Callithrix jacchus: one gene and its partner. The main gene of each other region encodes a partner of the protein of the gene in region 2 in a complex. Links are inferred from orthologs where the notes say so. Each region holds a gene or a part of one and is shown on either strand. Other genes may lie near its edges. The genes, in order: FKBP3 and MTOR.

Region 1 (16,678 bases), on a different chromosome or scaffold from region 2:
GTACTGGCATTGTAACTTCTTAAACTCTTCAAAACATTAGTAATTGCCTTTTAAGTATAAACTTCACAGTTAAGGTCTTGAAAGTTAAGATTTTGAATAAGAGGGAAAAAAAAAGATTCTAGCTGAAGTTTGAACTTTATCCCAATAGAAAATACTGTTGTCTGTTGGAGGTGCTGATACATACACATCTAAATAGTCTGGACAGGATTCTTCACCTAGAAGTTCACCTAGACAGCGTCTTTCACATCTTCATGTGATCCTGAGATTATTTTTTTTTCCTTTAATTATGAAGGGAAAAAAGGATACTTGGCATCAGGCTGTCCTTTCTTTCCATAAGCCCATTCTGGTTCAATCTCCAGTCGAGCTTTTTCTCCTTTACTCATAGTCAAGAGAGCTTCATCCCACTAAAGGCAAGAACAAAATAAAAACTAATGGTATTTTGCAAAAAGCACATGCAATACTACGGCAGTCAAGACAAGATTATATGTTAAAACAAACACAGAATCTATTACTGGATTTCACTATATTCTAAGGTAATGTACTTCAGTGAATCCCTAAATCTTTGTCTTCCATTTCTTCAATAGAAAAAAATAAGGGTATTTTAAGGAGGGCTTTTTAAATATTAAAAGAACTTTTTGGGGCCGACTGTGGTGGCTCACACCTATAATCTCAGCACTTTGGGAGGCTGAGGCAGGCAGATCACTTGAGGTCAAGAGTTCAAGACCAGCCTAACTAACATAGTGAAACCCCATCTCTACTAAAATTACAAAAATTAGCAGGGTGTGTGTGTGGGGGGGTGCCTGTAATCCCAGCTACTTGGGAGGCTGAGGCAGGAGAATCACTTGAACCCAGGTGGCAGAGGTTGCAGGGAGCTGGGATTGTGCCACTGCACTCCAGCCTGGGCAACAGAGTGAGACTGTCTCACAAAAAAAAAAAAAAAAAAAAAAAAACTTTTTGTAAACCTTAACATGCCATACATTATTAAAACCAGTTTGTTATTGGCATCATCATAAAAAAATCTGCTACACTTTTACATTACAGGGCAAACTTGAGAGTTTATTTTTACTGGAATATACTGGCAAGTATTCAACTAAAATTGTCTTAAGATTACCACATTGTAATAGATTCATGTTGCTACATAAAATACAATTTTTAAAATGTTATGGCACTAGGGTCTTTTGCAAAAGGTAAAACTAACTTTTCAAAGAAATTCAGTAAAAGGCTTCTGGGTAGGCCTCCCCATATTTTTCAAATTTGGATTTTAAAGTTAGTTGCCAAAAAAACAGTTAAAGCGACATGACCACAAGGGTAATATTCCTAATATTACACTGTTGAAATGCAACAATCATTTAAAGCTCAAGGGACAAAGTTAGGCTGGTCACATTTGGACATTAAGTATATGGTAGACTAGCTGGGCATAGTGGCTCATGCCTGTAATCCCAGCACTTTGGGAAGCTGATGTGGGTGGATCACTTGAGGTCAGGAGTTCAAGACCAGCCTGACCAACATGGTAAAACCCTGTCTCTACTAGGAATACAAAATTAGGTGAGGTGGCGCATGCCTACAATCCCTGCTACTGGAAAGGCTGAGGCAGGAAAATCGCTTGAACCCAGAAGATGATTGCAGTGAGCCAAGTTCGCGCCACTGCACTTCAGCCTGGGCAACAAGAGCGAAACTCCATCTCAAAATAAAAAGAATATGGAAGACTAGAAGAAATTTACCAATATGCAAGTAAGTTACAGAAATAGAAAAATGGCCCAATTAGATATATACTTGCTATCAACTTGGTAAAGGAAGATACAATTATGTTTTTATTTTTTTGAGACAGAGTCTTGCTCCCTTGCCCAGGCTGGAGTACAGTGGCGTGATCTCAGCTCATTGCAACCTCTGCCTACCAGGTTCAGGCAGGCATTTCTCCTGTCTCAGGCTCCCGAGTAGCTGGGGCTACAGGTGCCTGCCACCATGCCTGGCTAATTTTTGTATTTATAGTAGAGACAAGGTTTCATCTTGTTGGTCACACTGGTCTTGAACTCCTGACTTCAGGTGATCCACCCGCCTCAGCTTCCCTGTGAGCCGTGGTGCCTGGCTAAGATGTTTTATATTCTGTATATGATTGTCTGAACCATATCTTAGGACCTACCGATAGTACAGAGAGTAATATATTGAAGGTTCTTATAACTGCATTTAAATAGGCATTTCAATTATTGATGTCTGATGTTCTGAGAATAACAATTTAAAGCAAACAATGGGCCTAGCATGAAAGCCTGATTCATAGAAGGTGACAGTCAGTCTGCTCTTTTATCTTCTTCTGTACACTATAATGGTCAATACAGGTCAAGCCTAACTTCCCCTTTTCTGAGTTTCCTTCTGTTATCTATCACTTATAAGTTAGATAAAAGCATGTAAGTTAGGTTAAAGCATGCTTATGTTTGAACAATTGTCTGGTATTGCAGTCTATGCTGTATGAAGTGAACAGGCTTCAGAAACAAACTCTGCTTCTATGAGTACTAAAATGGAACATATTTTACCTTCCCCAATTATATGTAAATGGTACAATAGTTATAAAACATTATATAGGAATCTTAAAGACAAATTTAGAGGGCCAAACACTGTGACAAAGACTGACTGTATGAAGGAAAACAATAAAAGGGGTACACATGGAAGGGACTAACATTTAAGCCCCTACTGTATTAGTTGCTTAAGTTACACTCATTTAATCTTCTAACAACCTTGAGGTAGGCAGTACTGTCCTCACTTTATAGGTAGCAAAAACAGACCCAGACAACTTGTACAAGATCAGCTAGCAGTGATTATACCCAGTCTGTCAGACTCCAAGGTCTGTTTCCTTTTTATTATATCCCCAAGCCTAATTCTTTATGGCATCATACCACAAACAACATGTGCCAGAATATCTACTGATTCATTGGCATTCTTTACTTACTCCTCTGATAACTTTGCCTACTCCGACCTTAAAACTTAAAGGCTTGGCATTTTTCTTCTTCTTTGCACCTGTAAAACAGATTTTCCTTATAATTAATGATATACTCTATTATTAAGAAATGGAGTTCCAATGGAAAAAATATACTGGTTTGATTTCAGAATTACAATACTATGTATTTTGAAAGAAAGAAAAATTTACAAAGCCAGGTCATCCATCAATAACATTCTAGCTGAAAAATAATTATATTCTTATCAAAGGGTAGAGGGTTAGGACCTATGCTTATATCACAAAACAGCATACTATCCTGCCTTTTCTATTCAAATACTAAAGCCTTACTTTGGGACATTAACCAGGTTTAGACTGAAATTCCTTATTTTTTGCTTTCCAATGAACAAGAGGTCTTTAGCCAGCCAATAATCAGTGAACTGAAGACCTCTTCCAAGTAGTTCTTGGGGAAAAGTACATCTTGATAAAAGTAGCTGACAGTTAAGAAAAAGGCTAACTACTCATCTATCTGCCACCCAAGTATTTTGTAATGTCTTTAAGCTAAAAACTAAGATTACATTTAGACTTACTTGTTTGAATATTAGTATCAAAAACAGTCCCATCTTGTAGTGTTCCTGTATACCAGCAGTGAACAACATCTCCCTTTTTGGGAAAATTGGTTTTATCTCCCTTTTTCAGAACAGATTTTGTATATTTTGGTGGACCCTAAAAACAAAAAACAACATACACACAGTTGTTAATTTGTGTCTTTTAGAAGAATGACAAACAATAGCCAACAATGACCAAAGTCAGTTTAAAAAGTTTGATAGATTTGGTAATAAACTGTTTTCCATCTAGTCCACCTCTATGACTTAAAAAAACAAAACACTTCAGTGTCTCATTTCAAGGCTGTGATATGAATATCATGTAACTTAAACATCTATAATTTAATTACAAAAAACTTCCAGCTTCTTTGGAAGCCAAAATTCTTCTAACAAGATTGTTAATTATTCAGCAAACCAAAAAATGATTTCAGTTATTTCCTAAAGTTTTTTTTTTAATTACTATTTAATTTTTATAAAATCATAAGGCATTACAATAAGGGATGGTAACTTTCCCCCACAAAGATTTTAACTGTTTTAGCAGCAATAATTGATATTACTAGGTGTTTTTATTATATCCAATTAGAATGAATACAGTGATATTGCCTGTGTCCCTGATTTGAAAAATAAGTTCACACAATGGATGAAATTACCTAATGAAATTGCCCTAACAGGCATATTTCCTAGAACAAAGCAAAATTATCAGGGTCTTCTAAAAAAAAAAGTTACAGATTAATTTTATCAATAGTAATTCATATATGAGAGGAAAGCAGAGAGATTAACTGTCAAGAATCTAAGGAAGTTAAAGAAAAAAAGAGATGGACCGAATTTAAAAGTATCCTCTTTACCTAAATCTATTTGGTTTCTGAATTCAGACCAAATTCAGAGAGATCTGCATTATCCAAATCTGTATGTGGTTTCTAAATTTCATAAAATAACAAAGGTGTGGTTGGATATCAAATATTTCAAATCTATTAGTTCCCGAGTTTGAAAAGCAAGAGGAACAGTATTTTCTTTATTTCTGATCTATTTCTAATTGGGCAAGTCATGCAAACTTTTATTCACTTTCACTTCCCTACCTAGGATTTTTATCCTTTTCCAAAACTTGTAAGTAAAAAAAATCCATACTGGGTACAGTGGCTTACGCCTGTAATCTCAGCACTTTGGAGGCCAAGGCAGGCAGATCACTTGAGGTCAGGAGTTCGAGACCAAGCTGGCCAACATGGTAAAATCCCATCTCTCTTAAAAATACAGAAATTATCCAGGTGTGGTGGCATGCGCCTGTAATCTCAGGTGCTTGGGAGGCTGAGGCAGGAGAATCACTTAAATCTAGGAGGCAGAGGTTGCAGTGAGCCAAGATGGTGCCACTGGTAACAGTGAGAATCCATCTCAAAAAAAAGTCTGATCTTGCAAAATAGTCTACCTCTTGACAAAAGATTCTCTCCCTCACCAAACTCTAGCTAGGCTCCTCTGAGCCCTCTTCTTCACAAGGCCTCAACCTTGGCCTATAAAGATGTGAACAAACACACAAGTTTCAAATAGCTCAAGGCCTTATTCCTAGGAGGACCCGATCCCTCCTTAAAGTGCCCACCTAAGGCTGCCAAAAAAATTTACTGTTTTTGTTTCAGGCAACACCTGAAGATGAAGAAAGGACCCGTCTCTCAGTCTGTGGGAGCCTAACTCTGATAAGCACCAGTTAGCAAACTCAGATAGGTTTCGTATGGATCAACTCCCACTTCCTGCTTTTTGTAATTTTTCACTTCCCTAACTTAAATCCCTCCCTATTCCCTCATTGTTTCAAAAGACCCAGTTACCTCTCCATACATGAGATAGGAGTTCAGCTCTTTCCCCTACTGTCAATAGACTGAAAAAAAAAATGTTTTTACCACTTTAATGTCCAATTGTGTTTATCTCTGACACCTTCAGTCGTCTACTCAATTGCTAGAGTGATGTTAATAATTACTGCTTATAGTTCTATATCCAAAGGCCTAAACCATGCAGGATCTTAATCTATCACTCCCTGAAGCTCCAGAATTCTACTGCCCTATGAACTCCTGTCTCTTCCATGACCTTCTCAGTAGAACAGGTGCACATAGCATAGAAATATTTCAATCGGCAAGGCGCACTGGCTCACACCCGTAATCTCAGCACTTTGGGAGGTCCAGGTGGGTGGATCACCTGAGGTCAGGAGTTCGAGGTCAGCCTGGCCAACATGGTGAAACCCCGTCTCTACAGAAAATACAAAAATTGACTGGGTGTCGTGGTGGGTACCTGTAATCCCAGCTACTTAGGAGGCTGAAGCAGGAGAATTGCTTGAACCCTGGAGGCAGAGGTTACAATGAGCCAAAATCTTGCCACTGCATTCTAGCCTGGGCGACAAGAGTAAAACGGTCTCAAAAAAAAAAAAAAATTATTTTTAATAATTTTTTTCCCTTTATTTTTTTGAGATGGAGTCTTGCTCTGTTGCCCAGGCGGGAGTGCAATGGCATGCTCTTGGCTCACCACAACCTCTGCCTCCCGGGTTCAAGCAATTCTCCTGCCTTGGCCTCCGAAGTAGCTGGGATTATAGGTGTACACCAACACATCCAGTGAATTTTTGTATTTTTAAGTAGAGACCAGGTTTCGTCATGTTGGTCAGGTTGGTCTTGAATCCCTGACCTCTTGATCCGCACGCCTCTGCCTCCCAAAGTGCTGGGATTACAGGCGTGAGCCACCGCACCCAGCATTTTTTTTTTTCCTTTTTTAAGAGACAGGGTCTTGTTGCCGAGGCTGGAGTGATCACATCACTGTAAAATATCTCAATATTTCGTGGCTCACTTAGAGGCTCAGGCAACCCACCTGCCTCAGTCTCCCAAAGTGCTGGGATAATAGGCGTTAGCCACTGCACCAGGCCAAGAATACATCTATAGAAACATGGAATATGGAATTTAGCAGTGGCCACGTTTTGGAAGGCTTTGAATGCCAAGAATAAAATATTTGGATATATATATATTGAAGACCAGTGGTGACTAATTAAAATGTAACGTTTCTAACCTTCCAGGTCTGAGGTCTTGCTTAGAATGCTTGAAAATCGAAAAAAAAAAATGAACAGTTAAAATAAAAGATGATGTTTGATAGCGTTAGTCCTGAAGGAGACATGAGAAAGGAAAAGTGAGACAAAGATTCAGAGAACTTTTAAGCTGGGAAGAAGGGAATGGCAATAGCTAGACGTTCACATTTTGGTAAAAGAGAACACAGGAACATATAATGAGAAGGGAAGCCAGGCACAGTGATTCACGCTTGGAATCCCAGTACTTTGGAAGGCTGAGGTGGGCACGTAACTTGAGGTCAAGAGTTCAAGACCAGCTCAGCCAACATGGAGAAACCTGTCTCTATTAAAAATACCAAAATCAGCCAGGCGTGCTGGCACATGCCTGTAGTCCCAGCTACTAGGGAGGCTGACGCAGGATAATCACTTGATCCCAGGGGGTGGAGGCTGCAGTGAGCCTAGATGGCACTATTGCACTCTAGCCTGGGCAACAGAGCAAAACTGTCTCCAAAAAAAAAAAAAAAAAAAAGGTGAGTAAAAATTTGTGAAAAAATGTCACATACCTTATGTAAGCAATGAGCAATGTGATAGAGAATAGGGAAAGGATAGCATAAATGTTGTTGAGTAGCAATGAAACTAGAAAACATGCTTGGCTAATATTAAGCATGAGTTTATACCAGGCTCAATAAAAGGTTTTATGATTATATGTTTATAATGCCTGCTCTCTAGTCCCAAAGCATGAAGACAAAATAGACAATAAGGGTTAGTAAGGGAATAGACAAGAGGCTTTTGAATCTAGGGTGTTAGGAAAACAGACACAGTACATAATTGGGCTCAAGCTGGCCAGTTAAATGAAGAGGTTTTAAATAAAATGATATAGTTTAGGACCCTCATAAGATCTCTCTAGATTGTCTCTAGCTCTTATGAACTTGCCATTTAGTTTATTTGTAACTTTTTAGCTCCTTAATGAAATACTGTCTCCTAAAACCACCCTCATTCTAATTTTCTGGAAGGCAAACTATGTTACCAGTTGCTTCTGAAACCCTTCAATAATAATTGCTCAATTTACCTTAGTAGCTAGTCATTAGATATAATATTTATCAAATATTAATTGTGATAAACTTTTAAAAACTTTTTTAAATTTTTTTTTTTTTTTTTTTTTAGAGACAGAGTTTTGCTCTTGTTGCCCAGGCCTGGCTCACTGCAACCTCCACCTCCGGCTACAAGCGATTCTCCTGCCTCAGCCTCCCTAGAGCTGGGATCACAGGCAGGCACCACTGTGCACAGCAAATTTTGTATTTTTAGTAGGGCTTTCTCCACATTGGTCAGGCTGGTCTCGAACTCCTGACCTCAGATGATCCACCCACCTCAACTTCCCAAAGTGCTGGGATTACAGGCCTGAGTCACCACGCCTGGCAATTGTGATAAACTTTAAAATTGCTTTATATGCACATATACCCACAATCATTTAATTTGTGCTTTTTAGCCAATAGGAAAAAAATCATGCAAAATTAACTAGCTTTAATAAAATAAGCATCTATAACTGTATAATTGAACTTATACTTTCCACAAATATCCAAAAACAACACTGTCATCAATTGTCAAGAGTTGTAAAGAGGCTACAACTCTTTACAAGAACTAATAGATTATTATCACTGATACTAAGACTGCTAGCAATGAGTGAGCCAATGAGTGAGCTTAGTTACATATGATCAGAAATGACAAGATTATAATCTATTCAGTTCTGCTAAGTTAGTTCTTAGCAGCTGATCTTAGCTCTACTAAGGCTGTCAATTTGCAGAAATGAATGAATCTGCTTCTTTAAACCTTTGTACCAAAATATAAAACCTGAGTTGGGAAAGCTGAGACAGATGAACCCACATCCTGCAGCCAAGCCTGGATTATTTCTATTGCCAGGGACATCACGTACATTAGAAACAGCTAAAAATAATCAAAAGAAAGTTTATTCCACTTAGTCCAACTTGGCTATAGAATCAAGTCTTAAAATAGCTTCAAAAGCTCAGAAGGTCTGCCACCTATGGCAGCAATAATAAATACAATGTCAGAAGTATTTCACAGGATAGGCTAATAACTGTAAAGCACTAGTTCTTAGGATTATTTCTGTCCCTAAGGGAAATGGCACACTCCAACTAACTGTTTGGCTCATTGAAAGTGGTCATACTCAACCACCCTTCACTATGAGAAATTAGTGCAAATAATAAAGAAATAAATACAATTTTTAGAATCCACATGATAAAATAAGAAAATAGTATATACAGACCTCATCCAGAGTCTCTTCAGACTTGGTTTCTTTGGGTTTATCTTCATTAAGCTTCACATTTTTTACTTGCTCAGACACTTTACTTATACTTTCAGTACCCTTAAAACGCTGTAAGGAAAATGTTCTAACATCATATTCAGGACAGGCTAAAGCCAAGGAATAACATCAAGATTTTCAGCCTCTCAATTAAATGAACATCTGCACAATAAATATAGGTTATATAATACAATTGTGAATAAATGGTCTAAGGAAAATTAAGAACAAAGAAAAATTTTTTTTCATAATTTATTTTAAACATAAATTATTACTTTCAAACCAGCTTACAATATAAATTCTGAAATGAGAACCATGACATTAGAAAGGCCAACTCATACCCAGAGATATAAATACTATTCAAATAACTACTGAATAAAGATTTTTTTCCTATGGAAGATACTCATTTCATAGTGAACAAATATGGGAGAATATCTTAAAATTTATTTTTGTAAATGCTCAGCTTAAATCTAAACCAGACTTTAAATTCATTAGTGAAATGGAAACATTTTCTGTATAACATTTTATATAATAAAACAAAAAATTTAATATATACCATATGCTAAAGTATGGAAATACCACTGCCCTAATGAATATATAACTAGTGGCCTTAAGAATTTGTTGTCTCAATTTAAGCTACAAAATCCAAACCCTTTGAAAATAACGAAACATTCTGCCATATTCCTGATTAGCCTTGCTAGATTTGACAGCTAGTCCATTTATGATAATGGTTCAAAAAAACTGCAGGTGAAGAAGCTCCAACACATTCAGCAAATAAATGCATTCTAAACATCTTTTAGGAAGTACAATTTCAAAAGTTCTGTTATTCTGTTAACAGAATCTAACAATACTCACCTTAGTTTCAAAAAGATGGTTATAGGCTGTAACCAAGTGGTCCTTGTTAGCGGTCTTGGCCACATTTTTAATGTTTCCTAATAATTTATGTTCTGCAAGAAACTATAAGGGAAAAAGCTGGGTAATCAAGATAACTTATCTCAAGCAAGAAATGTCTAAAATTAGAAAATGTGACCTTTTTATGTTAGCAGTTGTATTTTCAATAGTACTAGTATCGAAGAAGAAAAAAACCTATAGTTTATACTCTATTTCATTACAAAAAAATGTAAGATAGATTTTTTAAAAATTGGATATTTATAAGAATTATTCACAAGACTGGAATGCAGTGTTATGTACTGGACAGAGTGGTTCGTCTTAACCTTTTCCCAGTCACGCAGCCACAAAAAATAACATTTATACAGCAAACACACTGTGGTGACTTGAGGCAGCTGCTCACTGCAGGAGGATACTTGGGTGCAGCCTTTGAGAGCCTCCAGCCAGGTTGGGCATAGCTATCCTGAGGCATCTGTAACCTATTCTTGGGAGACTAGGAAGACTCACTGTTATACAAGCAGGTAACACAGATATGTTGAGATAACCATACCTAACATTACACACACACACACACACACACACACACACACACAATTGCTAGGTGTATGGGCTGTGGAATCATATTACCTAGGTTAAAATCCTACCTCTTTGGGCCAGGTACGGTGGCTCACACCTGTAATCCCAGTACTTTGGGAGGGAGGCCAAGGCTGGTAGATCGCCTGAGGTCAGGAGTTTGAGACCTGTCTGGCCAATATGACGAAACCCCAACTCTACTAAAAATACAATTAGCCGGGCATGGTGACGTATGCCTGTAGTCCTAGCTTGGAAGGCTGAGGCAAGAGAATTGCTTGAACCTCGGAGGCAAGAGGTTGCAGTGAGCCAAGATTGCGCCACTGTACTCCGGCCTGGGTGACAGAGTGAGACTCTGTCTCAAAAAAAAAAAAAAAAAAAAAAATCCTAGCTGTCTGATACTACAAAGGGGACTAAGCCTGTCTAAGGACTCAGCCTCGCCCTGAGGCTGAGGAGGGTGGATCACCGGAGCTCCGAAGTTTGCGAGTAGCCTGGCCAACATGGTGAAACCCTGTCTCTACTAACATGCAAAACATCAGATGGACATGGCAGTGTGCGCCTGTAATCTCAGCTACTAGGGAGGCTGAGGCAGGAGAATCGCTCGAACCTGGGAGGCAGAAGTTGCAGTGAGCGGAGATTGTGCCACTGCACTCCAGCCTGGGCGACAGAGTGTGACTCCCTCTCCCAGAAAAACAAAACAAAACAAAAAAACCACAAGACTCAGCCATATCTGTAATGGAAGATTAATAATAGCATCTATGTCAAACAGTTGCTCTAAGAATAAAAATGTAACAATCCATTTGATGCATTTAGCATAGAGTCTGTCACACAGTAAGAGTCTCCACCTCTTGGGTTCAAACAATTCTCCTGCCTCAGCCTCCCGAATAGCTGACATTAGAGGCGCCCACCACCATGCCCAGCTAATTTTTTGTGTTTTTAGTAGAAATGAAGTTTTGCCACGTTGGCCAGGCTGGTCTGGAATGCCTGGCCTCAAGTGATCTGCTCCCTTTGGCCTCCCAAAGTGCTAGGATTACAGAAACGAGCCACCACGCCTGGCCAAGGCTGTGGGTTTAAAAGATTACTATGTTATAAAAACATTTTGGGCCGGCGCGGTGGCTCAAGCCTGTAACCCCAGGATTTTGGGAGGCCTAGGCGGATGGATCACGAGGTCAAGAGATCGAGACCATCCTGGTCAACATGGTGAAACCCCGTCTCTACTAAAAATACAAAAAATTAGCTGGGCATGGTGGCGCGTGCCTGTAATCCCAGCTACTCAGGAGGCTGAGAGAGGAGAATTGCCTGAACCCTGGAGGCGGAGGTTGCGGTGAGCCGAGATTGCACCATTGCACTCCAGCCTGGGTAACAAGAGCGAAACTCCGTCTCAAAAAAAAAAAAAAATTTTTTTTTTGATAATCCAAGTCTGTTTAAATTGTCCCAAGTGGCCCAGTTTTACATTCGATTCCACATTGGCATGATTTGTTTCATAAGACTATGATGAAGTACAGGACAAAGGGATTAATAAATGTTAATGATATGTCTATTCTATTGTTTCAGATGAAATATTAATTAGCTTAAGAAAAAATAGCTTAAAATGGGGTAAGCTCCCCGATGCATGTTCTTTCTTTTTCGCTCTTGTACCTCCAAACATTGAGAATAGGTTTTGTTACAGATGTTGTATTAATATTTACTACATTAATCTAAGATGCAACTGCCAGGATAATGATTCAGGAAGAAGGAACTGGAAGTTGGAGAGTTCTTATATCGCCCTGTCAAGACACCCTTCCAAAATGAAATAAAATATAATCTCCTCACGGTGGCTCACGCCTGTAATCCCAGCACTTTGGGAAGCCAAGGCGGGTGAATCACGAGGTCAGGAGTTCGAGACCACCTTGGCCAATATGGTGAAACCCTGTCTCTACTAAAAATACAAAAAACTTAAGGCCAGGCGTGGTGGCTCAAGCCTGAATCCCAGCACTTCGGGAGGCCGAGGCCTGCGGATCACGAGGTCAAGAGATCGACCATTCTGGCCAACATGGTGAAACCCCGTCTCTATTAAAAAAAAAAAAAATACAAAAAAGTTAGCTGGGCGTGGTGGCGCGCACCTGTAGTCCCAGCTGCTTGGGAGGCTAAGGAAGGAGAATCGCTTGAACCCAGGAGGCTGAGGTTGCAGTGAGCCGAGATCACTCCACTGCACTCCAGCCTGGGTAACAGCTCGACTCCAGCTCAAAAATAAAACCCAGAAACAATTTTTCTAAATTAAAGTTTAGGAATTTTTAAAATTGTATAGAAAACACAAGCAGTCTGCCACTTGTCAGAGGAGAATGCGGCGTGCACAACTATCTCAGCAATTTAAGAGACACATGAATGATCTTAATTTCCAAAGGAAAAAAAAAAAACAAAAATAACTTCACTATAGACATATGGTTAAGATGGAGACTATGCTGACAATGGAGAGCATACAGTATAAAGAATTTCAAATAAATTTCTTAATCTGTTTATAACAATGGGAGACCACTGCACAAGAGAAATGTGCACGTACCTCCCTGAAAGTATAAAGGTGAGAAGGTCATTAAAGGGTCGGTATGTTAAACCAAAACGTAAACCACAACCTACGGATTTTTAAAAAATCACTCGCATTAATATTAAGTATTTAGTAAATTGTTGAGAAAAGTTAAGTTGGATAACCGTTCCCATAGAAATCTTCACATCCCTTTTTCCCTAGTAGCCGACGCCCCGCTCCCAGGAGTCTCATCCACACCACTATTCCTCGGCTTCCCCGCCCTAATCCCCAATATCTTCGGGTCCCTTTTTTTCTGGCCTCCACCCCTACTCAAGGATCCCAATGAGGTCCTAACTCCACAGTTGCCAACCCGTGTGCCCCAAGAAATAAAGCTGCTCCGCCGCCCCAGTAGGGCACGCCGAGGGGCGGGAGCTAGGCTCTGAGGCGCACACTGGGCCGCTGCGGCCTGCCCGGCCACCGGCCGCGGGAAGACGAGGGCGGAGGCACAGAGGAATACGGAATGTATGGGCATCTCCAGGGGGGTGAGGCGTCCCTCAGCCGCACCAGCCCGGCCGCCCCTCCGCCTCCGGTACCGAATCTGAGCCGTGGTCCTGCAGAAACTTGATAATGTCCTTCTTGGGCAGCTGCTCACTGCGCAGCTGCTCCACGGTCCACGCCCGCTGTGGAACAGCCGCCGCCATCTTCCCCCGCCGCCTCTGCTTTACTGAGCCAGCCCGCCGCAGTTCGGCATCGCCCCGCCCCCTGAGGCGTGGCGTGGCCCCTGACGGAAGTCGAGGGGCGGGTCACTGCTCTAGCAGTCGGGACTGGGACCTGTCTTTGAGTGACGTCAAGGTTGTGCTATGTGGGCTTCTTTGTTGGGTCCGGGTTAAAAAACCTACCGCAGTGGTCTCAGCAGTTCACCGAATTGAAGACCGCTAGTGGTCCTTAATTCTGAATTATATCCGCTGTGAAGCGGCCGATGATGGTAGCGACATTTATCAGCCATTACTCACTGTTATTGCTTATGGCAACTATGGCTTTAAAGCTCAGTCTATTACCTGTTAAAAGAAAGCCCCTGAATGGGCTCCTCATCTCGTTTTATCTAGTTCTATTCTAAAAATTCACACCTAAACTGGCTCAGTCCTTGTCGATCAGGAAACACACCATCTCTCCTCCCCTTTTGTTTTTTTGAGACGGAGTTTCGCACCGTTGCCAGGGCTTGAGTGCAATGGCGTGATCTCGGCTCACTGCAACCTCCACCTCCCGGTTCAAGCGATTCTCCTGCCTCAGCCTCCTAAGTTGCTGCGACCACAGGCACACGCCACCACACCTGGTTAATTTTTGTATTTTTAGTAGAGACGGGGTTTCACTATGTTGGCTAGCTGGTCTCTAACTCCTGACCTCGTGATCCGCCCGCCTCAGCATCCCAAAGTGCTGGGATTACAGGCGTGAGACACCGTGCCCGGCCTTTTAAAGATCACACAACTGCCTGGCGCGGTGGCTCACGCCTGTAATCCTAGCACTTTAGGAGGCCGTGGCGAGTGGATCATGAGGTCAAGAAATTGAGACCATCCTGGTCAACATGGTGAAACCCGTCTTTACTAAAAATACAAAAAATTAGCTGGCATGGTGGCGTGTGCCTGTAATCCCAGCTACTCAGGAGGCTGAGGCGAGAGAATTGCTTGAACCGAGGAGGCGGAGGCTGCGGTGAGCCGAGATCGCGCCATTGCACTCCAGCCTGGGTAACAAGAGCGAAACTCCGTCTCAAAAAAAAAAAAAAAGATCACACAACTGAAACTTAAATACAAACTGCTCATCCCCTTCCCCACATACAGACACGAGAAAGTTTGTATAAAACGAAGTTCAGAAACTTGAACAAAACAATTTCTAAAGAAGCTGCACTCAGGATGTCACTTGCTAATGAAAATGACATTATTAATGCTCGTAACTCTGTGATGTATATATATTTTTTCAGTACGCAAGGAAACATTTACAGCTGTTACTCAAAGTTGTCAGGTTTAGAGAGAAGAAGTTAGGAATTGACTGAGATCGAAATCTTCGTTAGAGTGGAGTAATTGCACACCGACGTTTATTATAATGCTCTTATGTGTAATAAAGATTTAATAGTTGAACATCAGGACTCCTTACATAAGAAAAAAAATTCTGGCCGGGCCTGTAATCCCAGCACTTTGAGAGGCCTAGGAGGGAGGATCACCAGGTCAGGAATTCGAGACCAGCCTGGCCAACATGGTGAAACCCAGTCTCTACTAATAGAAAAATTAGCTGGGCGTGATGGGGCGCACCTGTAATCCCAGCTGCTCAGGAGGCTAAGGCAGGAGAATCGCTCGAACCTGGAAGGCGGAGGTTGCAGTGAGCCGAGATGTGCTACTTACTGCACTCCAGCCTGGGCAACAGAGCAAGACTCCGTCTCAAAAAAAAAAAAAAAAAAATTAGGCTTACTCTGGGCATGCTGCTTATGAGTTACCCCTGCTCTGCAAGAAGCTTTTTTTTTTTTTTTAAATTCTGGGCCGGGCGAGGTGGCTCAAGCCTATAATCCCAGCACTTTGGGAGGTCGAGGCGGGTGGATCACAAGGTCAAGAAATCGAGACCATCCTGGTCAACAAGGTGAAACCCTGTCTCTATTAAAAATACAAAAATTAGCTGGGCATGGTGGTGCGCGCCTGTAATCCCAGCTACTAGGGAGGCTGAGGCAGGAGAATTGCTTGAACCCAGAAGGCGGAGGTTGTGGTGAGCCGAGATCGTGCCATTGCACTCCAGTCTGGGCAACAAGAGCGAAACTCCGTCTCAAAAAAAAAAAAAAAAAAAAAATTCTGACGAATAGCTGGACCAGATCAAGTTCACTTCCCTTTAAACAATGAAAATATAAAAATAGGCCGGCATGGTGGCTCACGCCTGTAATCTTAGCACTTTGGTAGGCCGATCACCTGAGCTCAGGAGGTCGAGACCAGCCTGACCAACACGGTGAAACCCGTCTCTACTAAAAACATAAAATTAGCCAGGCGTGGTGGCACATGCCTGTAATCCCAGCTACTTGGGAGGCAGTTGCGGTAAACTGAGATCGCGCCATTGCATTCCAGCCTGTGTAACAAGGGCGAAAGAAACGACGTCTCAAAAGACAAAACAAAAACAGAAAAAATAAAATAACGGGTTGCCACTCCTAGCATGGTGAAAAAGAGACTTGGCATTTTTTTCTCATCCCAGATAGAGATATAAGACAAATTATTCTATCTACACACTTCTGCTTTTTACCTTATATCCGATTTCAAAGTACAAGGATTGGGAGGCCGAGGCAGGTGGATCACAAGGTTAGGAGTTTGAGACCAGCCTGGCCAACATGGTGAAACCCCCTCTGTACCAAAAATACAAAAATTAGTCAGGCGCCGTGGCACGCTCCTGTAATCCCGGTTACTCGGGAGGCTGATGCAGGAGAATCGCTTGATCCCGGGAGGCGGAGGCTGCAGTGAGCCGAGATCGCGCCATTGCACTCCAGCCTGGGCGACAGAGTGAGACTGTCTGAAAAAAAAAAAAGTGCAAGGAATGAGACACGTTAGAGGCTCAATAACATTAAATTCACAAATTGATGAGTATTTCATGGTACCCTGGTATATAATATATAATAAATCTCTTTTATAACATTTTAAGTGATTTATCACCTTAGCGGTGACTCCCAGACACCTAACCATTGGAAACGGAACTTAAATTTAGAGCCTGTTAAAACAAAACAAAACACCGGAACTTCAAGGGAGCATATTTGAGTAACGCCTTATAATGCGCATGCGTCTCCGGAAGAAAGGAGAGAGTTTCCGGGAAGCCAGCCAATCATATTTCC
Region 2 (16,003 bases):
AGGGAGGGGAGTACTAAACACTGGGGTCTATTGGGGGGAAAAGGGGAGGGCCAGCGGCGGTGGGGAGGGAGCTCGGGAGGGATAGCCTGGGGAGAAATGCCAAATGTGGGTGAAGGGGAGAAAGGAAGCAAAACACACTGCCATGTGTGTACCTATGCAACTGTCTTGCATGTTCTGCACATGTACCCCAAAACCTAAAATGCAATAAAAAATAAAAAAAAATAAAAAAATAAAGATAAAAAAAAAAAGAAATAAAAATATTGGCTGGGTGCAGTGGCTCAAACCTACAATTCTAGCACTTTGGGAGGCCAAGGAAGGAGGCTTGCTTGAGCCTAGGAGTTTGAAGCTGCAGTGAGCTATGATCACACCACTGCACTCCAGCCTGGGTAACAGAGTGAGACCCTGTCTCAAAAAAAGAAAAAAGAAAAATTAAATAAATAAAAATAAAATATTATTTTTTCTTTCAAAAAAAAGAATGGAATGCAGTGGTGTGATAACAGGTCACTGCAGCCTTAATCTCCTGGGTTCTTCCATCTTAGCCTCCTGAGTAGCCTCTTGAGTAGCTAGGACTATAGGCGCGTGCCACCATGCCCAGCCATTTTTTTTTTTTTTTTTTAGTTGAGACAAAGTCTCATTATGCCCAGGCTGATCTCAAACTCCGGAGCTCAAGCAATCTTCCTGTCTCAGACTCCCAAAATGCTAGGATTACTGGTGTGAGCTACCACACACAGAAAGAAATTAAAACTGCTCTTAATTTTAGTCTAGTCATCTAATAGCCTCAAACTGGGAAAGCAGAACCAGGGCCGGGCAAGGATGAGCTGAAGTTCTATTCCTTCAAAGGCAGTGGCCAAGGCTTTCTTTTTCCCTCTGATAGCTGGGGCTCTGATAAGTGACCTGCATTTTCTTCTGTATAGACAAATGGCACTGGTCAGCCTTGATACTTACTAAAACTGAGTCTGGGTCAAAATAACAGGTAATTCTGGTTCCAAATCATTCTATTTTTTACTCATTCAACAAGTATTTTTGAGCACCTACTATGTGTCCCACTCTGTGCTAGGTACTGACAGAGGACACTGAGGAGAATAAAGAGAAACAAGGTTCCCAGGCTCATGGAGTCTGTCTCACTCAATCAGGAAGCAGTAATACTCACCTGTCTTTTGGCCAACAAAGAAGAATCCTGGAGCATGTCCATGATGATAATAAAAAGTTCATCAACCCATTTTCTCATTTCCAGGCCACTAACCTGCAAGATGAAAAAGAGGGTGGTAGATAGGGTTAGAAACTATGACATTAAGAAGTATTTTGAGCCAGGTGTGGTGGTACACACCTATAATCACAGCTACTCGGGAGGCTGAGACAGGAGAATCGCTTGAACCTGGGAGGCAGTGGTTGCAGTGAGCTGAGATCGTGCCACTGCACTCTAGCCTGGGCAACAGAGTGAGACCTCGTCTCAAAAAAAAAAAAGTATTCTGAGGCTAGGCACAGTGGCTCACACCTGTAATCCCAGCACTTCAGGAGGTTGAGGAGGGTGGATCACCTGAGGTCAGGATTCAAGACAGCCTGGCCAACATTGTCAATCCCCGTCTCTACTAAAAATACAAAAATTAGACAGGTGTGGTGGCACACACCTGAAATCCCAGCTACTTGAGAGGCTGAGGCACAAGAATAGCTTGAACCCAGGAGACAGAGGTTGCAGTGAGCTGATATTGCACCACTGAACTCCAGCCTGGATAGAGTGGAACTGTCTCAAAAAAAAAGAAAAGTATTTTGACTTCCTTAGAGGTGAGTTTCTTTCCACCCTATGGAAAAAGCAGCTGTCCCTTTACCTGTGCCAATTCTCCTATTGTGGCCAGGACATTGTTGATCACACCTGGGTTTGGATCAGGGTCTGGATCTTTCAGTTTCAAAATTAATGCCTAGGGAAAGAAGTTATGAGAAAATGAATGCAGGTTAGACTCCACTAGAAACCTTTCTTTTATATAAGTAAAATTCACCCAGGAGACCATCTCAGTCATAAATAAATTCCTTCTAGGCTTTGTGAATCCAAGATTTCTCTGGAAGATAAATTCTCAAACTTTTCTCCATAGAGCTAGGAAGCACCATGACATTAAAGTATTTCTCACATCTCCTCTAAACTGTATCTCTCAGTGATCGCTCATCCAGATTCACATATGTTAAAAAGGACTTCACATGACTCTAACGTGTTCAGATTTGAAGGTTGTTTCAGATTTTCAAGATCATTTTTTCCTCATTTGGAAGAGCTATTTTATGCTACTCTCCACCTGCTTCTCCCTTCCAAACACCTGTGATGATGTGCCTGAAGCATTATCTCTTACCTCTTATAAGGAGAGCACTTTCCTGTGACTGATGAGGTTCTTGGTATTCTCTATCTGAAAGTGCTTGATATGACCCTTTGGTCTCCAAGCACGGGAGCCAAGAAATCATCTACCTTGTTCAGTGTACTAATGAGCACTGAAACACTCCCATCTCCCCACATGAACTGATATAAGACAATGCAGAAAGAAAGTGCCAGCCTCTCAGTTTATGTTACCTTCAGAATAGGCTCCATGTAGGGGCGGATGAGTCTAGGGGCATTAGAGACCAGGTGCCCCAGCATGCGGGCACTCTGCTCTTTGATTCTTCCAATCCCACTGTGCTCCAGCTCTGTCAAAATCTGTAGGGAAGAAAGGCTCATGTGTTCTCTACCGCAGAAGACATTCTAGAGAGAGACTGTGTCAAACAGAAAACCTGGCAGGGAACTAGGGGGAAAATCCAGACCTCCAGAACAGATGAAATAGCTGCTAGATACTCAATGAGCAACAGACATCTCTACAGCTATCAGAACAGCCTCAGATACAGCTGCAACAGGAAGAAAAACTACTTGAAAACCTTCCCCCTTTCCTTTTATCACAGCACTCCAAGGTCCCACAGTCCTCTCTAAAGCACAGCTTTTAACAGTGTAGCACAGCCAGAGAAGACTACGAAACCCAACAGAGAGAGCTGGGAGTAGGGTAGGGTCCTATAAAAATGAGGAATGAAGGGAGGGCCCCTTGGGACAAAAAATATTTGTCCAGACAGCAAATTACTAAGGACTACAAATAATAGCAAAGGAATCAAAGAAAAGCTAGAACAGCTATGATGCTGAGAGAAGTGTTGATACTCTATAGCTGTTTAGGGCATATCTAGATAAACTTCAATAGGTAGGGATCACATCAGTAGGATCCCCTGAAGCCTTACTGACTGGATCCTTACAACACCAGCAAATCAGCACATTATGCTCACGGTGACAGAGACAGCATAATATGGACTATCCAGATTTCTGGATAGCTAAAGTTGCCAGAAGGAAGTCGCTGAGCAGTGAGAAAAGCAGATGTCACAGAGTTCAGGTTAACTCAGCTACCCAGAGGAGTCTACAATTTAACATTACATTTTGTCTCAGCTTACTGAATTAATTACCTGATTTGCTGGATTCCCTAGGCAGCCTGTTTCCCCAGTCATAGCAGACCACAGGGAAAAGAAAGGGGATACTGAGAACAGACCTGCAGCAGCAAAAAGACATGGGTGACTGCGAAGAAATGTGCCTCAGGGAGCAGAGCCCAACTAGCTGCAGCAGTGTGGGGCCAACCCAAAGAACCCCAGGTTCACTTCCAGAGCCCGAGAGCCTCACTGCATCCTAATAACATAACCAATGTCCACCCTGATGACTAAGACCTCAAGGAAAGGTCAAAGCTGGCTCACGCCTGTAATCTAAACACTTTGGGAGGCTGAGATGGGCAGATTGCTCGAGCCCAAGAAGCAGAGGCTGCAGTGAGACAAGATCCCACATTGCACTCCAACCTTGGCAACAGAGTGAGGGATCCTGTCTCAAAACAAAACGCCAAAGCCTTTACTAAGGCATGAAAATGTACAACTCAATTTAGAAAAATCTATATCAAAGTTTAAAAAGAAAAAAGAGTAAAGTTTCAAGGGCTAAATTCAGTACATAGTAAATTCATTCAAAGGAGTTTCATACTCTTTGATATTGAAAAAAATGAGATGGCCTGATAGCTTCATGTCAGCTTCAAGAAGATTGGAGCCATGCATGGCTTGTTCACTGCTATATTCCCAGTGCCCACAAGTACCTGGAACATATATGTGCTCAAACATTAGGAGGTATTTCTTTTTTTTTCTTTCTTTCCTTTTTGAGATAGGGTCTCACTCTGTCACTCAGGCTGGAGTGCAGTGACACGATCATGGCTCATTGTATCCACAACTTACCAGACTCAAGTAATCCTCCCACCTCAGCCACCAAGTAGCTAGGACTACAGGTATGCACCACTATACCCAGCCTGGTGTATATTTGTATATTTCGCAGAGACGCAGTTCATCATCTTCCCCAGGCTGGTCTCATCACTCTTGGGCTCATTTGATCCATCTGCCTTGGCCTCCCAATGTGCTGGGATAACAGACATGAGACACTGCACTCAGCCTTTTAGGAGATATTTCTATGCCAAATTCATTTAGCATGACTTGAGCTAGCAGGCTCAAGAGTGATTTCTGTTTTTTTGAGACAGAGTCTCACTCTGTCGCCCAGGCTGGAGTATAATGGCACAACCTTGGCCCACTGCAACCCCCACCTCCTGCATTCAAGCAATTCTGCCTGCACCAGCCTCCTGAGTAGCTGGGATTACAGACACCTGCCATCATGCCTGGCTAATTTTTTTTCTTTTTAGTAGAGATGAGGTTTTACCATGTTGGCCAGGCTGGTCTCAAACTCCTGACCTCAGGTGATCTGGCTGCCTTGGCCTCCCAAAGGCTGGGATTACTGGCGTGAACCACCACGCCTGGCCTTTAACGATGATTTCTATTCCTTCCTAAGACTGAGGAATTTTTTAAAGACTTAAAATGACAGGCACTTCTAACACAGGCCAACAGTTAAATAAATCTTTAGGCTAAAAATAGAGGTGCCAACATAAGTGCAACTTTCTAATTTGATTGATGATATAATTTATAGCCACTTTATGACAAATTGTGAACAACATTTCTCTAGAGTGAGTTACATATATTAATGATTTTCTATGTTTAAGTTCCATATATGTTATAAAAAGTGTTTACTTAGAAAGAAACCATAAGGGAGGGTCAGGAAGCAGACAGCGAGCAACAGGGACTGGAAATGAGTGGGTGAGCCACACAGAGAACCAGAAGAGGAAGGTGGAAATAACTTCGCCAGGCAGGACTGGACCATGTACTGCTCACCTGGAGGCCACAAAACTTACTCAGGTAGGTGAAGACAAAAATTCAGGAGCCATGTCTCAAGAGGAATTAAAAATCCCACTGGATCTAGTAGCAAGGCCAACCTAAATCTATCTTAGGCTATAGACCAAGCAGCTGAGCTTGGCATTCTCACATTATTTAAGAACAAAAGCCAGGATCACAGAATGAGGCAATGACTATTAGAACACATAGTGGAAATGGTCTCACACTGGTTATTCTTCTGCAGAACAATGGCCGCCATGCTTGACCTGGCACCAACAAGGAAAGCAGAAGAGTGGAAGGACAGGGAGGCACTGGGAAGTCTGACACCATCTGCAGCAGATCAAGCCAGCAAGCAAAGAGGGCCAAGAAATGGGATCACTGGTGACTGAGTTGCCAGGAAGAATAAAGAGCTGCATGAGGGGACTCATACTAACAAAAGGCTCATGAGGTGATGAGCACTGGAATTGCCACTATAAAGCCAGGGAAACATGTGAACCCTTGCAGACAAAGGTGACTTTTCCCAGGTACCTCAATCTTTCTCCCCCATCCTTGTCCTCAACTCTGCTTCCTCAAGCAGCTCTCACAGTGAGAATCCTGTGCTCCCTGCCTGTGGGTCTGACCATCATCCCGGTTACCTGGATGAGCATCTTGCGCAGGAAAGGCATGACAAAGGCGGGGTTCATGCTACTGAGTCGGCCCACAGTGCAGATGGCCAGCTCCCGGATCTCAAACACCTGGTCATTCAGAGCCACAAACAAGGCCTGCAAGTTCTCCGCCTGGGCCAGGTGTGCATCAAAGCGCTCATCCAGGGACGCCAAGACACAATAGCGAATGTCAGGGTCTGCAAGAGCAATGGAGCCTTTGAACATTTCTTCATGACCCCATCACTCCAGCCCTTCTCTACCTCCACTGCTATCAGCATAGTGGGAAGATTCCAGATGCTTTCTCTCATCTATCCTCTGTCATTCTTTTCTCTACTCATAGGAGTAAAGACAAATGAATTAAAGACATTATCTTACACCAACAGGCTGGAGTAGCCACGCCTAACACCGTGGCAGAGAAATAGCTGAATATCAACTTGTTGAGACCGAAGATCTCTGGAGAGGCCATGTGATGAAACTGGCTACTTCCAGCTGCCCTAAGCTCCTAAACTCCCCTAGATGGCTTCTGTCTCAGAAGCCTTACCAGGATCTGTTATCCCAACCACGAGCAGTTTGCTGAGCACATCTGCCACCACTTGCACTGCAGTCTGGCTAACCACATGAGCATGGCCACTGATGAGGTGGATGGAGGGTGTGAGCAGGCGGGAGCAGGTACGGGCAGCCTCCATGCGGATCTCCTTGTGCTCACTGTTCAGGAAATGATCTGCACAGTGGCGAACGAATTGGGTCAGAGAGTGACCTGGATAGAAAGGCAGAGAGAAAACAGAATAAACACTGCTGCTGTGGACAGGCAGGTCTGCAGTTTGCTAGGTGAATTTTCCATTTTGAGGCTACTAGTTCTACTTTCAACCAGATACTGATCAATGATACTGACCCAGAATTCTTAAAGGATAACAAGTGGACTTTCAATCAGCAAAAGGCAAAAGGGGGTGGTGAGGGAACAGGGAGAGATAAAAAGTATCTCTCAACCCTAGCCTTTTTATATTCCCTTCAAAGAATAAATTATTTCATTTTATTCCAACTCAACCCCTACCATTCTCAGAGGGTAATGCAATTCTTGTCAAATTTACCTTGCCTGTTTTGGTTCCCAGATCTAAATACCAGACAAAGAGTCTACGTAAGCTGGGTTTAAGCATAGCTACTTTCTATTCACTAGAAATAAATTATCACAAGTGTGAATCAGTGTAAGCGGAGGAACTGCAATAGAGAAACCACAGGTGGCTGTCTCCAGACAGTATCTTCAGGCTTTCTGTGCGTGTTTCCCCAGTCTTGACCAATACTACCTACATGATCTTAAATTTCAAAAGTATGAACTTTTCTCTTGAAATATACCTCTGTGGGGTATTAGTGGGTTTATTTGCAGTTTAGAACTACACAATAAAGTACTTTTAGAAATCATATCGCTAGCTGAGCACAGTGGCTCACAGCTGTAATCCCAGCACTTTGGGGAGCCGAGGCAGGCAGATCACTTGAGGTCAGAAGTTCGAAACCAGCCTGGCCAACATGGTGAGACCCCATCTCTACCAAAAATCCAAAAATTAGCCGGGTGTGGTGATACGTGCCTGTAGTCCCAGCTACTTGGGAGGCTGAGGCAGGAGAATCACTTAAACCCGGGAGGCGGAGGTTGCAGTGAGCTGAAATCGTGCCACTGCATACAAGCCTGGGTGACAGAAAGAGACTTTGTTTCAAAAAAAAAAAAAAAAAGGAAGAAAAAAGAAATCATACTGCTATAGACATGGAAACACCCAAAAGCCCTTGTTATACATTCTAAATCATTACATACCATCTCAGCTACAAGGAAGTAGAAAAGTGAGGATGTGAGGGGGATCTGTCTCTGAAGCATTATTTCTTTGGATCAATGTGTACTTTCCCTCAAACCAACTGCCCCAAAACTCAGAATGGGACAAGAAACAAACAATAGGAATTACCAATACATGGAAAGAGTCTAGGAAGGATGAGCTGCTACAGAATCAGTTACCCTGTCTCTAGGACCCCGGCAAGATCCAGGAATCCTAGATACCTTCATTCCTTTCCCAAAGTTTCCAGCATCTCTCACTATGTTGACAAGAGCCACTGTAATTTCTTACCTTCAAATTCAAAGCTGCCAAGTGTTCGGAGGGCAAGAGTGATGCTGCCCACATCACTGGCCTCAGGGAGAGTCGTGAGCCCAGGGGAGGCCAGCTGATGGGCCAGGCCCTTGGGCATGCCTGGGTGGCGGAGGGGTTTGTGCATAAGGACCAGGGACAGCATTTTCAGTAGCCCGTCTTGAATGTCCTTCTTTAGCTGTGGAATCTGACGGCTCAGGTCATAGAGTACAGCAGTGAGGGCAGGGCTAAAGGGAAGGAAACCAGTCACATAAGGGTTGAGCACATGACACTCAGTCTGTTCTTGGGAAGAAACAGCCTTTCTCTCCCAGCAAGGGGATCAGGCCTCTGTTCTTTAGAGTAGAAAGGATACTATGAAATGAGAATAAATGTGTAAACTCTCTTTGCTTAGTCTCAGGTCTCTAAACAATCTATGAGTTTCTGGTTCTTGCCACAGGAAGACTTGCTCATTATAATTCAGCCACTACAGAATACCAAGACTCAACAAACACTCTGGCAAGCAGATCAAGAACACTGTCCTTATTCTACAGATGAAAAGAACTATAGTTTAGGGAGCTTAAGCAACTTGCCTAATAATAATATAAACAATATTTGTAAATATTTATTGAACATTTCCTATACGCCAGGCATGGTCCTAAGAATGACTGTATCATGAATCCACAGCAACCTTAGACAACAGGAATTACTACTGTACCCACTTTTCAGATAAAAAAAAATGAGGCTCGGGGATATTAAATAACTTAGTCAAGATCACATAGCTAGCTAGTGATGAAACTAGGATTCAGTACTAGCCTATGTGTTTTGTCTAAGCAAAACACATTTTGAATGTGCAAACAACCATGCCTCCCTCTTTTAACCCAGTCCCAACACTGCGGACCAAACCTCACACTGATACAGGGCAAGCTCAGGTTTCTGACACCCACCTTAGTCCCACTGCCAGCATGGGCTCCAGCAGTTCCTTGATATCCTGCTGGATGCCTGGCCCCATTGCTCGAGCCAGCATGCTGATGCAAGTAAAGACTGTGGCATCCACTTGCATTGCCTTCTGCCTCCTGCAGAGAAACAGACAGTGACTAGTTGAAACATAATGACATTTTTTAACGTCCCACCTCAAAATCACTTTGGGGCAAGGAGACCAGGTTACTCAGGCAGGACTACCATACACAGGTGTGCAGGCTGTCCACAGCACAGTTCAAAAGGGCCCATCACATCACAATTACTGTAGATTTGTATATTTCCACAACAATCCAGCAGATGGCAGTAAAGTGTCTTAAGGAAGATGCCCTTTTTCTGAATTCACACAGCAATACCATATGAGTTAGTGTGGTGCTCACCAAGATACTTATGTAGGAAGCAAGCTGAACAATGTGTTCATGAGGGGCAAGAGGGCAGCACACAGCCATCATACAGAAAGAAATTATTCTATGATGAGAATGCTGGGCTTTGGAATGGGGCCAGGCACGGTGGCTCACACCTGTAATCCTAGAACTTTGGGAGGCTGAGGTGGGTGGGTCACCAGAGGTCAGGAGTTCAAGACCAGCCTGGCCAATATAGTGAAACCCCGTCTCTACTAAAAATACAAAAATTAGGCTGGGCACGATGGCTCATGCCTGTAATCCCAGCATTTTGGGAGGCCAAGGCGGGAAGATCACAAGGTCAAGAGATTGAGACCATCCTAGCCAATATGGTGAAACTCCGTCTCTATCAAAAAATATAAAAATTAGGGTGTGCGCCTGTGGTCCCAGGAGGGACCAGGTAGGCTGAGGCAGGAAAACTGCTTGAACCCGGGAGGTGGAGGTTGCAGTGAGCCAAGAGCGCATCACTGCACTCCAGCCTGGAGCCTGGTAACAGAGGGAGACTCTGTCTCAAAAAAAAAAAAAAAAAAAAAAAAGATTAGCTTGGCGTGGTAATGCACACCTGTAGTCCCAGGGAGGCTGGGACTGCATGGATCACTTGAGGCTAGGAGTTTGAGACCAGCCTGGCCAATATGGGGAACCCCTTTCTTTACAAAAACATACAAAAATTAGCTGGGCATGGTGGTGCATGCCTGTAATCCCAGCTACTTGGGAGGCTGAGGTGGGTGGATCATTTGGATCCAGGAGGAGGTTGCAGTGAGCCAAGATCACACCACTGTACTCCAGCCTGGGTGACAGAGCAAGACTCCATCTCAAAAAAAAAAAAAGAATGAGTGGCACATATTAATTCACTACAGCAATCCTTGCTAATAAACAGGGAAGTATAAAGACACAATCCTGAGACAAAAGATGATGAACACTGACCCCCTCGCCTTAGCGAAGACACCCTGGCCTCTCCATCTGGCAGGAAGCTGAGGGCTTTTCTCATATTATATTTGCCAGAAGGTTTAAAGGGGTAGAATAACTTACTCAACTTCAGCAATGGGGAAAAAGATGACCCTTAGGTCCCTTCAGTTCCAGTCAAGTATTCCTCTCTTTAGGTCTTATATCAAAATATGACTTTTAAAAGCCAGAGAAAAAAAGCAAAACTAGTAGATTCCCAGTAAATAGTAACACTGAAAATAGCATTGGCATCTACCATGTTCTCATGGTTTTCAACCTCCCCAAATATTTATATATGTTATTTCATTTGAAAGAGCTTAGAATTCAACCTGGAAAGGGCTATTCTTCATACGATTTGCGATACCCTGGAGTTTAATGATGCATAAAATGGGGTTAAGCTCTGTGGATCTGGAATGGAGCATCCTTCCTCTCCAACCAAATGGAGTGGAAGGTGAAATAACAGAGGTGCTTACTTATGGGCGAAGTCCTTAGGGGGCAGGGCTGCTCGGATGATGTCCAGCACACGAGGCAAATAGACCTTAAACTCAGACCTCACAGCCACAGAAAGTAGCCCCAGGGCTTGGAAGGCTGCTGTACGTTCCTTTTCTTTCTTGACACAGCTTAGGACGTGGTTCATGGTATCTTGGAGATACTGGGTATCTGAGCACAGAAAAGACAAAGTAGATAATTCAAGGTCAGGGTTAAGGGCCACACATTAACAGTCAAGGTCCTATGTAGCAATTCAGTTGATGAATAAATTAAGAAAGTGGCCAGGCACAGTGGCTCATGCTTGTGATCCCAGCACTTTGGGAGGCCAAAGTAGGAGGATTGTTTGAGGCTAGGAGTTCAAAAGCAGCCTGGGCAACATAGCAAGATCCTGTCTCTACAAAAAATAAAAATTATTATACTTTTTTTTACTTTCTTCAACATGGAAAGCAGAACATAAAAAGTATTTGTTAACATCTCTTTCTTGAATTAATTGAAAAAAAGAAAAATAAATAAAAAATAAAAAATTAGCCAGGTGTGGTTGTGCATGCCTGTAATCCCAGCTACTCAGGAGGCTGAGTCATGAGGATCACTTGAGACCAGATAGTTGAGGCTGCAGTTAGCTGTGATTATGTGCAAAGCTTGGGTGACAAAGCAAGACCCTGTCTCAAAAAAAAGGGTCGGGTACAGTAGCTCATGTCTATAATCCCACCCCTTTGGGAGGCCGAGGCGGGCAGATCACGAGGTCAAGAGATCGAGATCATCCTGGCCAACATGGTGAAACCCCATCTCTACTAAAAATACAAAAAGTAGCCAGGCATATTGGTGGATCCCCGTAGTCCCAGCTACTTGGGAGGCTGAGGCAGAAGAATTGCTTGAACCTGGGAGGCGGAGGTTGCAATGAGCCGTGATCATGCCACTGCACTCCAACCTGGCAACAAAGCAGACTCAGTCTCAAAAAAAAACCCAAAAAAACAAAAAACATAATAAAAGGTCATCAAAACAGTATCATGTAACTATCTCCATTAGTGTTACACTTTGACACAAGAATTACACACTCTTGCTTAAGGAATATATGTCAAACCTTGTTTAACAACAAAGGATCACCTAAACAATTTTACATTATGCAGTGTCTTACGCATGTAATGCCAGCACATTGGGAGGCTGAGGAGGATCACTTGAGCCCAAGAGTTTGAGGCTGCAGTGAGCCAAAAGCCAGGCACTCCAGCCTGGACGACAGAATAAGACTATCTCCAACAAATAAAAAAAAACAAACAGTCCAGTCATATGCCACTTAACCGTGTTTGGGTCAATGGTGGACCACATATATGATGGTGGTCCCACAAGATTATGACACAGTATATTTTTGCATATCTTTTGTCTAGATACATTTAGAAACACATTTATCTATCATTGTTTTACAGTTGCCCCGAGTATTCATTATAGTAACATGCTGTACAAGTTGCAGCTCAGGAGCAATAGGCTATACCACAGAGCTAGGTGTAGAGTAGGCTATACCATCTGGGTTTATGTAAATACATTCTATGGTGTTCACACAAGGACAAATTCTCCTAAGGACAAATTTCTCAAAATGCATTCCCATCACTAAGCAATATATGACTATAACACTGAGCAGTGTTAGCGATAAACAGGCCATTTCATTTAGCTTAGGCCTGGAAATCATTTTGCTATTACCTAGAGATTTTTGTGACAGTTATATTTAAGAGAACAAGATTTAGTCTGCAATTCGGAAAGCCACATGTATATTTTCATTAAGTTTACATAAGCCAGTGTGCATAGGGAGGCGATTCTCATGCAATTTAAGCTAATGTGTTATTTCTCCTCTGAAGGCTGGAATTTCCTGATTCTTGCTTCTCTTCTATTTCTTCTCCTCCATTGCTGTTGGTCCCAAGTCCAGGCAGCAGGAGCATACATAAAATAGGAGAGAAGGCAAAACTACACATCCCTTAGGAAGTCAGGGATGTTGAAAGCTACCAGAACCACATGTAGACAATAAATTAGACTCCTAAAGCAGCACATATCATCACTGCATCTACTCGGAGAAATGTCTTCTCCCATAGCTCTTGTGGCCAAATGACAATGAGGCATGCTGGGGCTTGAAGACAGGTGACCAAGGTGATACAACCCTAAAATTAGAGTGGATCAACAAGAAAAACCAGGGGGATAGCATTTCAGCAGGAAATGAGCTAAAATCAAGAGTGTAATTTCTTTCCCAGGTGCCGTGGCTCAAGTCTGTAATCCCAAGCACTTTGGGAGGCTGAGGTGGGAGAATTGCTTGAGCCCAGGAGTTCAAGACCAGCCTGGGCAACATAATAGAATCCCATCTCTACAAAAAATACATTTTAAAAATCGGCCAGGTGTGGAGACTCATGCTTGTGTTCCTAGCTACTTGGGAGGCTGAGGTGAGAGGAACATTTGAGCTCAGTAGGTCACGGCTGCAGTGAGCTGTGATCACATCACTGCACTTCAGCATGGAAGACATAGCGAGACCTTGCCTCAAAAAAAAACCCAAGAGAGTATAATTTTCTTTTCTAGATTTAGCATCCTGAGAGATTAGAAATCTGACTAGAGATTCCAGTCCACTCCTGGAGTATTTTTTATATTCCTAAAGCTTACGCCATTGATAAGTTTAAGAATTAACTTCCAAACTGCAAGCTCTAAGCAAAGAATATACTTGTAGGGGTGTCCAGGCTGAATGTCACTGACCTATTTTAGTGTGTTTAATAAAACAACCTTGACTAGCCTTAAAAAACAGAGCAAAAACAACACACAGAGATCCAGGGCCCTCTGAGCCTTTGCATTCTGCTGCTAGGCAGCCTTCTGAACTTCCAAGGGTCACTGCTTCTATAGTGCCAGACTTTGATAAAATTTGTCCTAGTTATTAGTTCCTTTTGAACCACAGACTTTCAATCCAAGATCATTTAAAGCTCTACAGAACAGCAGCCTCTCTGGTCATTAAAAAAGAGAAAAGCTGCTGGGTGCCAGGCCAGAAGAATAGAAACACACAAAACATGGGTGGTTTTTGTTCTGTTATTTCTCTCTGGCTCAGTGGTTTTACGTGGCTAATTGTCATGTCCTCACCCAACATGTTCTACTGCTTTCACACAGCATGTTTAACACCTCACCAGCTACATTTCTCCCATGGTGTGTCTGGGCTGGGTGGCGTGAAGTGTCTGTGTGCTAGGGAACAGGGTCTGCTAAGGGCCAGGCCGGCCTTCTGCTTATGTCCCTGGCTCTCACGCCGTCCCGAATGTGTCACTAAGCATGGGCAACGTGCAGCATGGTCAAGTGGGAAGAGATGTTCAAGACTGGGCATCTACTCTCAGCAAGTAGGGAGGTAAGACAAGGACATTAAGTACGAACAGGCAACTGGAACATTATGATTTTTACCTCTACCTTATTTCCAGAACAGATTTGAAGTAGCTTGAGGAGAGGTCGTGATAATATATAATGGTTTCCATTTATTAGGGCTAACTCTGTGCCAGGTACTATATTTGGTGCTTAGGCATTAATGCTGCTCATCTTGGGAAGCAGAAATGGTTATTCTGATTCTGCAAGTCAGGAAGTTGAGGCCCAGGTAGGTCAAATAATCTGTCCCAAACCTCACAGTTAAGGGTGGAGGTGGGGTTCATCCCAGGTCTAATGGCAAACCTTTCCACAGCTGAGGGCTATGATGGGTGAAGGAAAGGACATTTATAGCTGGAGCAATCCAGGAAGGCTTCATTGAGAAGTTGGAATCTGAGCTGGGCCACCAGCTTCAGGAGCCAGGGATTCATGCTGCCTGCAAGTAGTGAGGCAGCTCAGTGACCACCTCAGGGATAGAAGCAGGACGATCCCCAAACCCTTCCTGACTCACAGAGCTTTGACACAGATACTGCACAACAGCTACATCAAAATTGCCCTTCCTCTGGTCTCTTTTAAGTCTATTTGTGAACTTTTTGGCCTTAGAAGTGCCTCTCTGCCTACCCGTTCTGATTGTTCCTGTGTCTGCTGCCTCTGACATTAGCAGAAAATCTGAACTAAACATCATTGAAATTGGACACAAGGCAAAGAAATCAGAGATTCATTGGCATTGCTTCAAATGAAAAGATACTTGAGGTTTTTGGAATCACCTGTTCCCTGTTTAATTACCCTGAGATGGGTAATGACGTCTTCCATGGACATCCTCACCTGTGAAGGCAGAAGGTCGGAATGCAGCCAAGCGGGGCAACAAATTAAGGATTGTCATCTGGATCAGCGAGTTCTTGCTATTCCTGCATTTCAGCACCCACTGGCACACCTGAGAGAGGAAGGATAAAGGGTTGGCAGGGGAAAAGTGAGGTGTGGAGCTTGGGAAAAGAGGGAAAGGGCCTCTCACCACTTACCTGATCAAATTTCTCCTCCATCAAGTCTCTGCAACACCGGCTCTCCACCAGGGTGGACTTAGCTGGGCTGGGGGAGGTCCCAAATCCCATGAGGCCTTGGTGAGAGCTGTACCCCAGCAGCCCCACCAAGGCATTTGACTGTTGGGGCTGCACAGCCTGGAAACTGGTGAAGGGGGTAATGTGACGAGGCTTTGTTCCAAAGCCCATGAGATCTTTGCAGTACTTGTCGTGTACCAGCTGCTGCTGTGTGATTTCTTCCATTTCTTCTCTCAGACGCTGTATATATGAGGAGAAAAAAAAATCATCTTTACTTATGAGTGGCATTCAAACTGGGCACTGTCGGGTCTACAGAGCATTACATTTGCCTAATCCCAAAATGCAACTACTTCCAAAGTGGAGGGTGGCCACGCTTCATGTTTAGGGTTATAATTTCCCTAGCACCTTGCAAGAGACCTGATTTTGTTGTATGTTAGGCAGAAGAGCACCACCCATTGAATAATAAAGTGGCAGCACAGGGCAGCCTTACCAAGGGTTCTCACCTCCCAGGACTCCTCACTTGGTTTGGAAGGGCTGACTTGCATATTGCTGTGACTACTGACCTAGGCCACAGCAATGAGGCTTGCAAAGGTGATAGGAGGCCTCCTGCCAGCATCCTGTGAAGGACTGTCTGGTCTCTTTCTTCTCCCCAGAAACCCAGGTGAAAACTTAAGCAGGTCAGGCACGGTGGCTCACGTCTGTAACCCCAGTACTTTGTGAGGCCGAGCCCGGAGGATCACGTGATGCCAGGAGTTTGAGACCAGCCTGGCCAAGATGGTGAAACCCCATCACTGCTA

The links.
Region 1: the proteins of MTOR (region 2) and FKBP3 are in contact, whole or in part, in a crystal structure (PDB 5GPG), measured with the Homo sapiens proteins. The link is inferred for Callithrix jacchus from reciprocal best matches to the Homo sapiens genes MTOR and FKBP3. Residues at the interface, in NP_001373429.1 of Homo sapiens: Glu2032, Tyr2038, Phe2039, Gly2040, Arg2042, Tyr2088, Val2094, Leu2097, Tyr2105, His2106, Arg2109; in NP_002004.1 of Homo sapiens: Lys160, Pro161, Leu162, Ser163, Lys170, Tyr198, Lys201, Gly202, Gln203, Pro204, Asp205, Ala206.

What each region holds. Positions count from the first base shown.
Region 1 is NC_133509.1:79,685,839-79,702,516, forward strand, and holds the start of FKBP3 (peptidyl-prolyl cis-trans isomerase FKBP3), read right to left. Parts: upstream 13,555-16,678; 5' UTR 13,530-13,554; coding exon 13,422-13,529; intron 9,828-13,421; coding exon 9,726-9,827; intron 8,946-9,725; coding exon 8,838-8,945; intron 3,653-8,837; coding exon 3,517-3,652; intron 3,010-3,516; coding exon 2,942-3,009; intron 405-2,941; coding exon 307-404; intron 1-306. UniProt on the Homo sapiens protein: FK506- and rapamycin-binding proteins (FKBPs) constitute a family of receptors for the two immunosuppressants which inhibit T-cell proliferation by arresting two distinct cytoplasmic signal transmission pathways. PPIases accelerate the folding of proteins.
Region 2 is NC_133508.1:49,104,655-49,120,657, forward strand, and holds part of MTOR (serine/threonine-protein kinase mTOR), read right to left. Parts: intron 15,447-16,003; coding exon 15,171-15,446; intron 15,086-15,170; coding exon 14,977-15,085; intron 10,960-14,976; coding exon 10,773-10,959; intron 9,055-10,772; coding exon 8,926-9,054; intron 8,230-8,925; coding exon 7,985-8,229; intron 6,637-7,984; coding exon 6,421-6,636; intron 6,077-6,420; coding exon 5,871-6,076; intron 2,675-5,870; coding exon 2,552-2,674; intron 1,917-2,551; coding exon 1,827-1,916; intron 1,244-1,826; coding exon 1,151-1,243; intron 1-1,150. UniProt on the Homo sapiens protein: Serine/threonine protein kinase which is a central regulator of cellular metabolism, growth and survival in response to hormones, growth factors, nutrients, energy and stress signals.